Linked DNA regions of Caenorhabditis elegans. The protein of the gene in region 1 interacts with the protein of each later gene in a pairwise test. Each region holds a gene or a part of one and is shown in the gene's direction. Other genes may lie near its edges.

Region 1 (6,528 bases):
GAAATTGGTGGCAGTACGTCATTTTTCGAATGTGCTGCACTGAAAGAAAAGGACGTACACACTTTAAAAGTCGACGAAAATTGAGAAAGGTATATAAGAGACAAATAGAGCTCTCCGGGATGAACACCGATAGAGAGCAACTGCAGCAGTCTTGCTCTCGCGGAAATGACGAATGAAACAACATGACAAAATGGAATTGTCATCGTTTTTAGTTCGGCGCTCTCTAATTCTCTTTCTTTCCTTTTTCACATGCTTCTTCGCCTAAAGTCTCCGATTTCTCATCTCTCTCACCACCTTTATTTTCATTTCGCCTCCATTGGAAACCAAAACCACACACAGAATTGCTTGATGTGATTGCGATCTCGATTACATCACTCGTCGGGAGAGGAATTGTTTGGATATATTAGGGGTTGTATAGACAAAAAAAACCTAACATTAATGAATGATCGATAGAATTTAGCAAAAAAAGGAGAAACGGTACTGTGTATTTTGAATAAAAATTTAAAAATAAACCCCAAAATGCGCTCAAATAAACGAATTTTGTGATAAAACTTTTCAAAAATTCAGCCAAGCTTTGCTAAAATCCTCAGTTTTGGTCACTTTACCCGTGGACAATTCAAAATATCAACATCCGACCGCTGCGACACGGAAAAATTACCAAATTTGGAGATTTCAGCTGAAATTTTCTTTTTTTTTTCGAAATTTAGATATTTTTATATTCGAGAAGTTTGATTTGAGCCCATTTTGAGGTTGTACCTTCAAAATACCTAGAACCGTTACTTCTCCTTTAAGTTTTTTTTTGATAAGCCAAGATTTCCATTGCAAAAATCAAATTCTTATTGTAACAAAAATTAAAACGGATAGAGAAATATCTCTCTCCGTCTCTTCGTCATTTCGAAAATGATCAGTTTCGTTTTCTGACGAAAAAATTAGTTTATCTTCTTTTTATCTCAAAATCACGGCTTCAAATATAAAAAATCACTGCTATTTTAAAAGGAATTTTGAATTTTTGAAAAAATGTTGTATTTTTTAAATCAAAAATTCGGAGTAATATATTTAAAAATTGACTTTTTTCATTTTCATCAATTTTAGTTGCAATAATTACCGAAAAACCCTGCAAATTGTCGCATTTCAACGAAAATTCCGTTCGGAAAAGGATGGAAAATGAAGAGGCGTGGTGGGCGGTGTTTGAACTGGCGGCGCAGTTAGATCTGCAGGTTCTCTCTACCGTACCCCTCCTCCCCTCTCCCTCTCTCTCATTCAGTTCATTCATCGATTTTCGCATTTTCCTATCGACTCATCCGGCGTTCTGTTGCGTGGATTTTCGTTGATTTTCTTAATTATCGCTCGATTTAGGCCAGTTCTCTTGAAAAATATTGGAAAATAGCATGCCATTGTGTTGTTTCAAGACGCTTTTTTCTTTCGCCTGACGTTTATCGATTTTTGGGTCGATGTGTGGCCTCCCGCTGCTTTACACTACGACTAGTCTGCTCATTTCTTGCAAGATTTCACGTCAATATTCTTAGTTTCTACCACATCGAAAAGATTTATCTTTTAAAAATATTGTGTTTTTTCACGCGAGCAGTTCAAATGTTCTCCAAAATTGTCACTAACTCATTTTCTATCGATTATTTCGTAAGATTGGCCTTTCTCGTATTTCTCGATTTTATCTCGAATGTCTTCAACTCTTGTGTAAGAAATGTTACTTCTCGTAACCACAAATTATTTCTTTCAGAAGTAAAATGGCTTGCGGACTCGCACTGAAAAGACCTCTGCAACACGAGTATGAATCTTTTTTAACTGATGAGACATACAACGGAGAAGCAAAGCGAGCCAGAACGCAATGCCCTCCTTTCCGTGCTCAAATGGGAACTATTGCCGCTACACTGCCGTCAACCAGCACATTTGCTCAGAAGTTCAAAGAACAGGTAGATAATTGATATAATATGTTTAGATTTGTGTCATTTATTCCTCGGATAGTGATATTTGTTCCTTTTCGAGCTCATACTGACACAAAAGCAATGGCAGATTTGCAACTAGTTGCGTTCTACTTGATCGTGGCTATACTTTCTTCTGACCACATTTATTTTACCTAATATCGAAAATTATTCATTTTTCAGGAGGAAAGCGTCTTCCAAGCAGCTACACTTATGACTCGTTTGTCTCGAAATCAGCTCAAAACATATCTCAGTTCGGAAGTGAAAAACCTGCGCAAGCGAAAAGCCATTCCACGCAGCAATGACTTTGATGATGATGGAGATCAAAGAGGAGACGGATGCAGCTCAAACTACTCAAAAGCTTACAGAGCTCCTTCTTCTCCCAAGGTAGGATTATAGCTGAGCTATTCTTTTAGTTGTGTCTGTTATTCCTTTGCGAAATCCATTATTTCGTTGAGCTCAATCGGACACTATAGAGACGGCAGATAGCAACTAGTTTGGTTCCTTGTCATCGAACCGGCTATACTTATTTCTGACTACAATTAAATTAAAATAGTATACAACAAATTTATCTTCAGTGTTTTGAAATATCTTCAGTGTTTTGAAATTAACTATGGTTTTGTTAAAATCGAATTTTCAGTCTGGATCGGATTCCGAGGGTGAAGCACCATCAACATCTGTGACTGATCGTTCCAGCGCCAAGAGGGAATTTACAATGGCAAATGTTCAAATGATATGCGAACGTCTGCTCAAACAACAAGAAATCCGTCTGAGAAATGAGTTCGAAATGGTTCTGACTAAGAAGCTTGATGGTAAGATTTTCCATGAATAATATTTATTTTATAATTAACGTTTTCAGAGCAACACCAGCAATACGTCCAATTTGCTGCCGAGCAGCTGAACTCCAAATGTGTGAGCACTGGGGATGACTATTCCTATTCGTACCTCTCCTAAATCAATCATGGTCGGCCGATAAAACAGCAAAACATCCGTTCATAATCCCAATTTGCTTTTTTCTCAACATTTCAACAAAAATTTCTAAAACTAAATGAAGTTGAAACTACTTGCTTTTTGAAGTCTTTTCTACTTTCTTTTTTTCGTATAATTTGAACTTTTAATCGTCATTCTCCCCCTCCCCTCCACAGTTTCTTGATCACTGGTATGTTTCAAAGTTAAATGCGGTTTTTCTGATGGTTTTCTCCCTCATTTTTCCGCTTCCCTCCACTCCCATCGCCTTTGACCTTTTCTTTTACCTCTCAATAGGCATTGACTGTACGAGGTTTTTATTATGAAATTAAAAAGAGATTAGATTTTCGTAGCTTCCTTTACACATTACAGCTTCTTTTTGGCCTTTTTTTGTGCTCGCACCCACCCTTTCATTGTGAATGTGATATTATTTGTGAGCATTTCCACCTTCCAATCTAAAATTGACCCTGCTCACTTCCCACCAATCTCCTCTCCCCTAATCGATAATTTTCGTTGTGTGACCATCTATTTTATTATTCCCCCTTTTTCTGCCACTATGTTTCATTATCTCCCATTGCTACTTTTTCGCTTTCCATCGTTTTAAATAAAGAGTGCTTCGAAGAATCGTTGTGGAAATTGCTTTAAAAAAAACGTTTATTCGATCAATACACCAAAAATCGAAATTCTCCCCTCTAGTCTCGAGAATTTTCAGCGAAATGCAAGTAGTCGGACTAATTTCTGGTGGTAAAGACAGCTGCTACAACCTGATGTGTGCCGTGCGAGAGGGCCATCAAATCGTGGCACTTGCAAATCTGCACCCACCGAAAGATGCAAAATCAGATGAACTTGATTCATACATGTATCAAAGTGTTGGAGCAGATGGAGTTGAGGTTGGGTCCTGCCACGAACCGAGATAGAAAAGGATGAAGAAACGACACCCTTTACCCGGACGCAGAGGATTTTTGTGCTGAAAATATGGTCTCGACGCGACATATTTTTTCTCAATTACAAAAAGGTGCGCGCCTTTAAAGAATTCTGTAACTTCTATCGATTTTTCATAGTTTTCCGTGAAAGTTTATTCATTTTTTTGAAACTCAAACGTCACAATGCATGAATTTTCAAATTTGAAATTAGAGTAATCTTTAAAAGCGGACACCTTTTTGCAATGAACAAAAGTTTGTCGCGTCGATCCCTGTATTTATTCAATAAATCACAAAATTCCGCGTCTGAATAATTTAATAAATTTTAATAAAAATGGATTTTCAGCTGTACGGTGAAGCCATGCAACTTCCTCTCTATCGACGAGAAATCACCGGTGAGCCGAAAAATCAAAAGTCGGATTACGAGAAAACAGATGGAGATGAAGTGGAGGATCTGTTCGAATTGTTATGCGAAGTGAAAAAGCATCATCCAGAAGTAAAAGGAGTATCGGCTGGAGCAATTCTTTCGAGTTATCAGAAAGTTCGAGTTGAAGACATTTGCCGGCGGCTTGATCTCGTTCCACTTTGCTTTTTATGGGAGAGAGAACAAAATGTAATTATTTATTGTCATTTCACATGCCTTCTTAAAGGGACACGGGTGTATTCAGCTGGGTCTCGGCGCGAAAAAAGTTAATGGTAGTCTATTTTTTCTCTTTGATTTGCCAAAATAAATGAAAAAAACTGCAAAAAAGATACGAGACACGCCGAGGATAAATCGGTGCGCCTTTAAGAAGGTATATATTTAAAATCCTTTAAAAAAAGTTTACGAACAATTTTTTCCAGGGCCTTCTTGCCGAAATGGTAGAAAATGGTCTCGACGCGATTCTCATCAAAGTGGCCGCCATTGGGCTCGGCGAGCAACATCTCGGAAAAACGTTGTCAGAAATGGCACCAATTATGAAAGTTCTTCAGGATAAATATGGAGTTCATCCGTGCGGTGAAGGTGGAGAATTCGAGTCATTTGTACGAGATTGCCCGCTTTTTAAAAAGCGAATTGTTATCGATGAAACGGAGGTAGATATTACACAATTCTGAGAATGCGTATGGTGCAACATATTTGGCGAGCACAATATCGTGTAGCGAAAACTACCGTAATTCTTCAAATGACTACTGTAGCGCTTGTGTCGATTTACGGGATTGATTTTCGAAAATAATTAAAATTCTTTATTTATCGAAAAAATATAGAAAATTATGTGAAGAAACCCTGTCACTATTCGAAAAGAAATTAATCTCAAAAAATCTAGCCCGTAAATCGACAACAGCGCTACAGTAGTCATTTAAAGAATTACTGTAGTTTTCGCTACGAGACAATCTGCGCGTCAAATATGTTGCGCAATACACATTCTCAGCTCCCGTAATACTTGAAATCCAACTTTCAACATTCTGTATTTTTCCAGACAGTAACCCACCAAGATGATCCCATTGCTCCTGTGTTCTACCTCCGACTGAAAAAGATGCACTTGGAGGACAAGTGAGATGGGAAAACATGTACTTTTGTTAATTTTAAATGTTATATTTACTTTTCTTGTTATGATGATTGTTTTCTAATAAAAAGTTCCGTTGAGTTACACAGAATCATATTTCATTAGGGACGTATTGAAAATGGAGCGTTTTTTAAAAAAGGAGATTATTATTGGCCATACAAAAACATTTAGTTAAAACTAATATTTAATTGAGAAGGGGGAAATAAATAGCATAATTTGTTGTGCATATATTTGAATTGGATTCAACGTAGGATGGAATTATGGAATATCATCTGGAGCATCCAAATCGCGATACGAGACTGGCTGACGACGTGGCGCATCCTCGAAGTAGCGTCCACCACCACCTCGTCCACCAAGTGAATGTCGAGGAGGGAATTGGGGACGACGATCATATCCTCCACCGCCAAAAGAGTTTCCTGAAAATTAATCATATTTATGAAATTTCAAGAGTTGAACAACTCACTTCCTCCACCACCAGGTCCTCGATCATCGTCTCGTTCTCTTCCATATCCACCTCGCTCACCACCACCACCTCCACGATGATCATCTCTTGGAGCTTGTTTGGGCTCACAGTCGACTGGTCTTTGGGCGTCGGCAAGATAATTGTTGAAAAAGTCAGCTTCTGCTCTCGCTTCCTCCAGCTTGTCTTCATGTTTAGACTGCAAGTGCTTTCGGATGAATTCAGGTCCCTTGAATTTCTTTCCAGAAAGCGGACAGAGCCATTTATCCTTTGCCAACTCGACAGTATTCTTTTGAATAAAAGCTTCAACTTCCCTGAAAATTTGGGTTTGTTAAAAATTATTTTTAAAAAAGCAAATTTTTTCACTTACTTTTCTCCATCCTTCTTGCCCATTTTCTCCAATTCTTCCTCGCTTACATACTGCTTTTCAATCAACCCTTTCTCAATGCGGCTATTGAATCCCGAAATAAAATCGTTCACAAATTTCTGTGGAACGACGAGAGCTCCATCCTCGTCAGTAGTGATTGATACTCCAGAAGGCGGCTGCCCACGAACGTGAATCAAGCCACATCGATTCGGCATCGAATCTTCCTGCGCATAATGTCCGTGATTATAAAAATCGATGGAATGAACAATGCGAAGGTAAACGATGAGAAGATCGAGAGCCTTCAGGATATTATCATCGCGCTCAAACCGAATCT
Region 2 (5,332 bases), 2.2 Mb from region 1:
AACCAAATGTAGCTTTACTTGCCTACAATTAATACATTTTCAATGCTACAATAATATTTTTATAAATCATTAATTTTAATTTAATTGTTATTCGTTTTCCCAAGATATTCAAACAATTTATTATCAAAATGTTATATGTTTCGTGTTTAATATCATCATGTGTCCAAACTTTATAGACATGCAACCTTTGCGTGATCAAACATTTTTCTCTATTTTCGCACCCCTCCAGGCATAATTGGCACTTTGAGATTTTCTTTTCATTGAATTTCTATTTCCAATATTTCATTTTCTTTGTCGATCCTAGGGTCTTTAGAATGTCAGATTTCTCGCCTGACATGAAGAATCTTGATATTGATCCAATTCCTGTAGACTGTGATTTATCCTATAATACAAACATTGAAGTTTTAAAATTCACAGCTCAAATAATTTACATTATTACTGGGATATTTTTGAATTCGGCCGTATTGGGGACTATTCTCTGGAGATGTAGAGAAGTTTATTCCACGAACTCTTTTTTTACTCTTTTTTCGGTTGATTGTATAGCTGTAAGTGTTTTTTTTAATAACTCATAGTTTCAGAGATTTTCGGAAGAAATTAATAATTAAAATTTGCAACAAAAAAACAAAGCGCGGAGCATCGTATAATACAAAAAGGTTGTACTGAAAGAAAATTTCATGAAAATTTCATTTCTCTTTTGCCTTCGTTGCAAATTTTTTTTCCGTTTTATTGGTTTACTTGATTTTCTGGTGAGTATCAGAATTTTAATTTGAATTGAAAAAGTATAAACGAAAAAGTCACAAGTGCTACTATAAATTTATTTCGCTGTAAGACCTTTCTGTTTGAATCTGTTGTTTCATTAGGTTTCAAATGGGCACCGTACTTTCTTCAGAACATATCAATTCTTATAACAGAAGGTTTATTTGCTCGTTTCTTTATTTACTTTACACCAATATGCCCTGTTCTCGCTGATTACTTTCAATCTCCGCTTGTTGGGTTTAAGATTATAATGTTATTAACTCATCATGTATCAATTTGTAAATCCCTTTTACAAGTTTTGTTAGTTTTAAATCGAATGACGTGTGTCCTGTTTCCAATAACGCACGATTCAATATGGAGAAAAAGCTTGAAATATGTGATTAGTGCAGTTTTTTTAATTCCATTTTGTGCTGACTGGAATATTGCTATATCTCGAGTTTACATGCAATCCACGTATGGAGGTTTCTGGGTTAGCTATTTCAAGAAAGTTAGCTGGGTAAGTTCATCTGTTTCCATTTCTTTTTTGTTTTAAAACTAAAAGAAACTGAAGAAACTGTTTTAATGAACCACATACAGAAAAATAAAAGATGAACTGGAGAGACCCTTACAAAATAAATGAGTGTGACTTTAAGGATTCCAGATTATACCAAATTAGACATATTACCTCACATGCGAAAAACTACACTTTCGACTGAACTTTTTGTTCAACAGTCTCGGATCCCGAGACGAGTAAAATTTTTCAGCTACCGTACCCGCAACAATGATAGATCATCAATCTTTCTATTTGTCATTCTCTCTTTTTGTGTTGATCATATTTCTAGAATTATGCGTTTTTTAATTCTGAAATATTGAAAAGTTCTGGGAAAACGAGAAGATAAGCGGGTACAGTAACCCAACACACTTGTTCGTGACAAGAACTGAGGCTGGGAGCACATTAAATATGTACATTATATTTAATATTTATTGTTTCAGGCAAGCCAATCTCGTTTTCAACTTGTTTTTATTATTATTGCATTATCATTTACATTTATATGCACTGCAATTACTTTGTTAAAACTTCCAGAAAGATCAAAAGAAATAGAAAAAGCAATCTCTAATGCAACGGTTATCATATCCATTGGGTTCACTTTTAAAGTTTTATTTCAGGTTATTAACTTCTGAATTTTAAAAAATATCTAGAACATTCAGATATACTACAGCTTTTTCTTCTCATACACTGATGCATCAAGCCCCGTTTATGGATTTAGCTTTTTAGCTCTAGACTTTTTAACTGTTGGTTCTCCAATTGTAATGATATGTGTTAGCAGAAATCTTCGAACTCACATTTTTAAAAGTAAACGAAAAAATCAGACACTGTCAAAAATGTTAACTAGAACTTCCGGAATGGTGATTGCTCGTTGAACTTTTTCGAATAAAGTATTGTTTATTCAACAGTATGTTTTATTCAATCATGTTGAAATGCATGCTGCACCGTTTTTAGAACTACGGTAGATTACTGTACAATTAAGGTTAGATATATCGTGGTATTTATATTGGAGTTTGTGTTTTCTGCATTTTTCATTTTTGTAGGGCTAGAAAATCTATATATTTTCGGAAGTATAAATCTTTTCCTCAAAAACATTCCATGAATACGCATTAATGCGATTTTTTAAAAGCAAACAATTCGATTTTAAGTTACCGCCAAAAATCAGTTTGGCGCCAACGCTCTTTATTGGCGCCTTATTCGCTTCAACATTTCGAATTTCGGCGCGAAGGTTACACTTTTTGATAACAATTTTGGGCCGCGGCGCTCATTTCTGCTTTCATCGCCCAATGTTTCCTCCTTTTCTTTCTTAAATAGTTTCACCACTCATTCTTTTCAACTGAATTTGTAATATTCTCATGAAATTTTAGTTCTGTTTAACTAGTTCCCATTTATCTCGTTGCGAAATTTATTATTAAAAAGTATGGAGGTGATTTATTCCGAACTTTTTCGAATCAGAAACTCCTACTTTTTTCTAATAGTGTTATTTTTGTTTAATATTCACATAAGTTCTTCCAGATTGAAGCTTAACTATGACTCTCACCGAAACCAGCCTGTCTCACAATGCCGAAGAGGGAAAGGATGAGGGAGGCCGCCTTCAACAGTACAAGAATCTCACCAAGCATGAAGTATGTTAAATTATTGATAACAGATTTCATGCAAAAATGTTACTATCCGACTTATTTAAAGTAATTGCGAGATTTATTTATTTGTTCTGTTCAGGAGCTCCGTCGTCGTCGTACTGAATGCAGTGTTGAAATTCGAAAGCAAAAAGGAGCGGACATGATGATGAAACGCCGTAACATCGTCGACGTCGATGAAGGTGGCAATTCGGAATCGGAGCTCGAGGAGCCAGAGAAGATATCTCATCAGCAATCATCAACCCGTTTGTCAAATGATGAGATTAGAGCTATTCTCTCCAACAATCCATCGGAAGATGATATGGTTCGATGCTTCGAGTCGTTGAGAAAATCACTATCAAAGACGAAGAATCCACCTATTGATGAAGTCATTCACTGCGGTTTGCTTCAGGCTTTGGTTCAGGCATTGAGCGTTGAGGTAGGTCGATCTTTATTTCCATTCAATAATTTCCAATTTTCAGAACGAGCGTGTTCAATATGAAGCAGCTTGGGCTCTTACCAATATCGTTTCCGGTTCCACCGAGCAAACAATTGCAGCTGTTGAAGCCGGAGTAACAATTCCACTGATCCATCTTTCAGTTCATCAGAGTGCGCAGATCTCGGAGCAAGCTTTGTGGGCAGTCGCTAACATTGCTGGAGACTCATCTCAACTTCGTGATTATGTTATTAAATGCCATGGAGTGGAGGCGTTGATGCATTTGATGGAGAAAGTCGATCAACTGGGAGATTCGCATGTTCGTACCATTGCATGGGCATTCTCCAACATGTGCCGTCATAAGAATCCACATGCCCCATTAGAAGTTCTTCGTGTTCTGTCGAAAGGTCTTGTCAAACTTGTTCAGGTAATTGTCAAAATGTTCGATCGCAATTAACGTCTTCACTTTAGCACACGGACCGTCAAGTCCGTCAAGACGCATGCTGGGCTGTTTCTTATTTGACTGATGGACCAGATGAGCAAATCGAATTGGCACGAGAAAGTGGTGTGCTTCCTCACGTCGTCGCTTTCTTCAAAGAAGCTGAAAACCTTGTTGCTCCGGCTCTCCGAACTCTTGGTAATGTTGCAACTGGAAATGACTCGCTGACACAGGCGGTTATCGACTTGGGATCACTCGATGAAATTCTTCCATTGATGGAAAAGACGCGATCATCAAGCATTGTGAAGGAGTGCTGCTGGTTGGTGTCCAACATTATTGCTGGAACTCAGAAGCAGATTCAAGCTGTCCTCGACGCAAATCTTCTCCCAGTTCTCATCAATGTTCTGAAGTCGGGAGATCACAAGTGCCAGTTCGAGGCTTCTTGGGCTCTTTCTAATTTGGCTCAAGGGGGAACAAATCGTCAAGTTGTCGCCATGCTTGAAGACAATGTAGTGCCTGCTTTGTGCCAAGCCCTTCTTCAAACTAACACTGATATGCTGAATAATACTTTGGAGACTCTGTATACTCTTATGCTCACTGTTCAGAATGGGTATGTTTTTATTAGATAATTAGCACTCTCAAAAATGTGATTCCAGTTACCCTCACAAAGTGGACATTCTTCACGACCAAGTCGAAGAGAATGGTGGACTTGACAGTTTGGAGCGCCTCCAGGAAAGTCAATCGGAGCAGATCTATACTCAGGCTTACCGCATCATCACTCAATTCTTCACCGACGATGATGCTGGAGAGAAGGAGTCTCATGAGAATGCCGATCCACAAGATAACAAATGGAGTTTCTAAATTATTTCACACTTATCATCATTCTAGTAGTCATTTCATAGTAACATTCTTCTTTCTCACATTTAACATTGGATTGTTTTTTTTAGAATTACCCTCATCTGTGTGTATTACCCGTATTTATATTTGACCCCGTTTTAACTGATCTCTTCACTTTAAATTGACAATTTGTTTAGAATGAAAAGAAAGTGGAACATATGATTTTTATAACCGGGAAAACGATGCGCGTATTTTTCAATACGCATTCATGTTTCTTTGTTGAACTGTTCACTCGCTAATTTGAACATCCGCGTTTTTGTCTATGTGTTCGTCGCGGGACCCATCTGAAAATTGTCTGCGCCTTTAATCTGGACTCAATATCCCTTGTTTTTTCTTTTCTTCCGGCTGAACTGAAATGATGCCTTTTGTCGTTAATTTTAATGATTTTATCACGAAATTTGAAAAATAATTTCCACTTGAAGCATTTGTCACAATAATGTTTGGTTAGGATAACAAAACTTGACAAGATCCGGCTCATAGTCCTAAAAAAGTTTTTTAAACTTCTTCACAGCTATTTCTCGGTTACTTCAAATTTCTCAGCTTTTTCCAATAATTAAAATTCAATATAATTCGTTAAATCACACATTAATTGCAGTACATCCAAACTCAAAATGATGATCAAAGTGGGAGCCGCTATTAATGGAACAGACAGTCCGAAGGTA

Evidence for each region. Proteins that work in one complex are often made in the same cells at the same time.
Region 2: the proteins of akir-1 (region 1) and ima-2 interact in a two-hybrid assay, tested with the Caenorhabditis elegans proteins (one study listed by BioGRID).

What each region holds. Positions count from the first base shown.
Region 1 is NC_003279.8:4,134,160-4,140,687, reverse strand, and holds akir-1 (Akirin), read left to right. Parts: upstream 1-1,735; 5' UTR 1,736-1,742; coding exon 1,743-1,928; intron 1,929-1,957; exon of another isoform or gene 1,958-2,084; intron 2,085-2,120; coding exon 2,121-2,324; intron 2,325-2,354; exon of another isoform or gene 2,355-2,480; intron 2,481-2,577; coding exon 2,578-2,749; intron 2,750-2,796; coding exon 2,797-2,891; 3' UTR 2,892-3,527; downstream 3,528-6,528. Other genes in the region: gclm-1 (GCS light chain), read right to left, coding at 1-39, 1,106-1,130; dph-6 (Diphthine--ammonia ligase), read left to right, coding at 3,620-3,793, 4,170-4,436, 4,667-4,897, 5,281-5,358; srrt-1 (Serrate RNA effector molecule homolog), read right to left, coding at 5,626-5,783, 5,831-6,141, 6,198-6,528. UniProt on the Caenorhabditis elegans protein: Molecular adapter that acts as a bridge between a variety of multiprotein complexes, and which is involved in antifungal innate immunity, development of the muscle and sister chromatid cohesion.
Region 2 is NC_003279.8:6,312,436-6,317,767, forward strand, and holds ima-2 (Importin subunit alpha-2), read left to right. Parts: upstream 1-2,797; 5' UTR 2,798-2,811; coding exon 2,812-2,907; intron 2,908-3,001; coding exon 3,002-3,337; intron 3,338-3,380; coding exon 3,381-3,761; intron 3,762-3,805; coding exon 3,806-4,383; intron 4,384-4,429; coding exon 4,430-4,634; 3' UTR 4,635-4,832; downstream 4,833-5,332. Other genes in the region: srg-14 (Serpentine receptor class gamma-14), read left to right, coding at 315-545, 890-1,252, 1,729-1,902, 1,945-2,157; hrpk-1 (Heterogeneous nuclear ribonucleoprotein K homolog), read left to right, coding at 5,282-5,329. UniProt on the Caenorhabditis elegans protein: Nuclear transport receptor that mediates nuclear import of proteins, and which is involved in sister chromatid cohesion. Binds specifically and directly to substrates containing either a simple or bipartite nuclear localization signals (NLS) motif.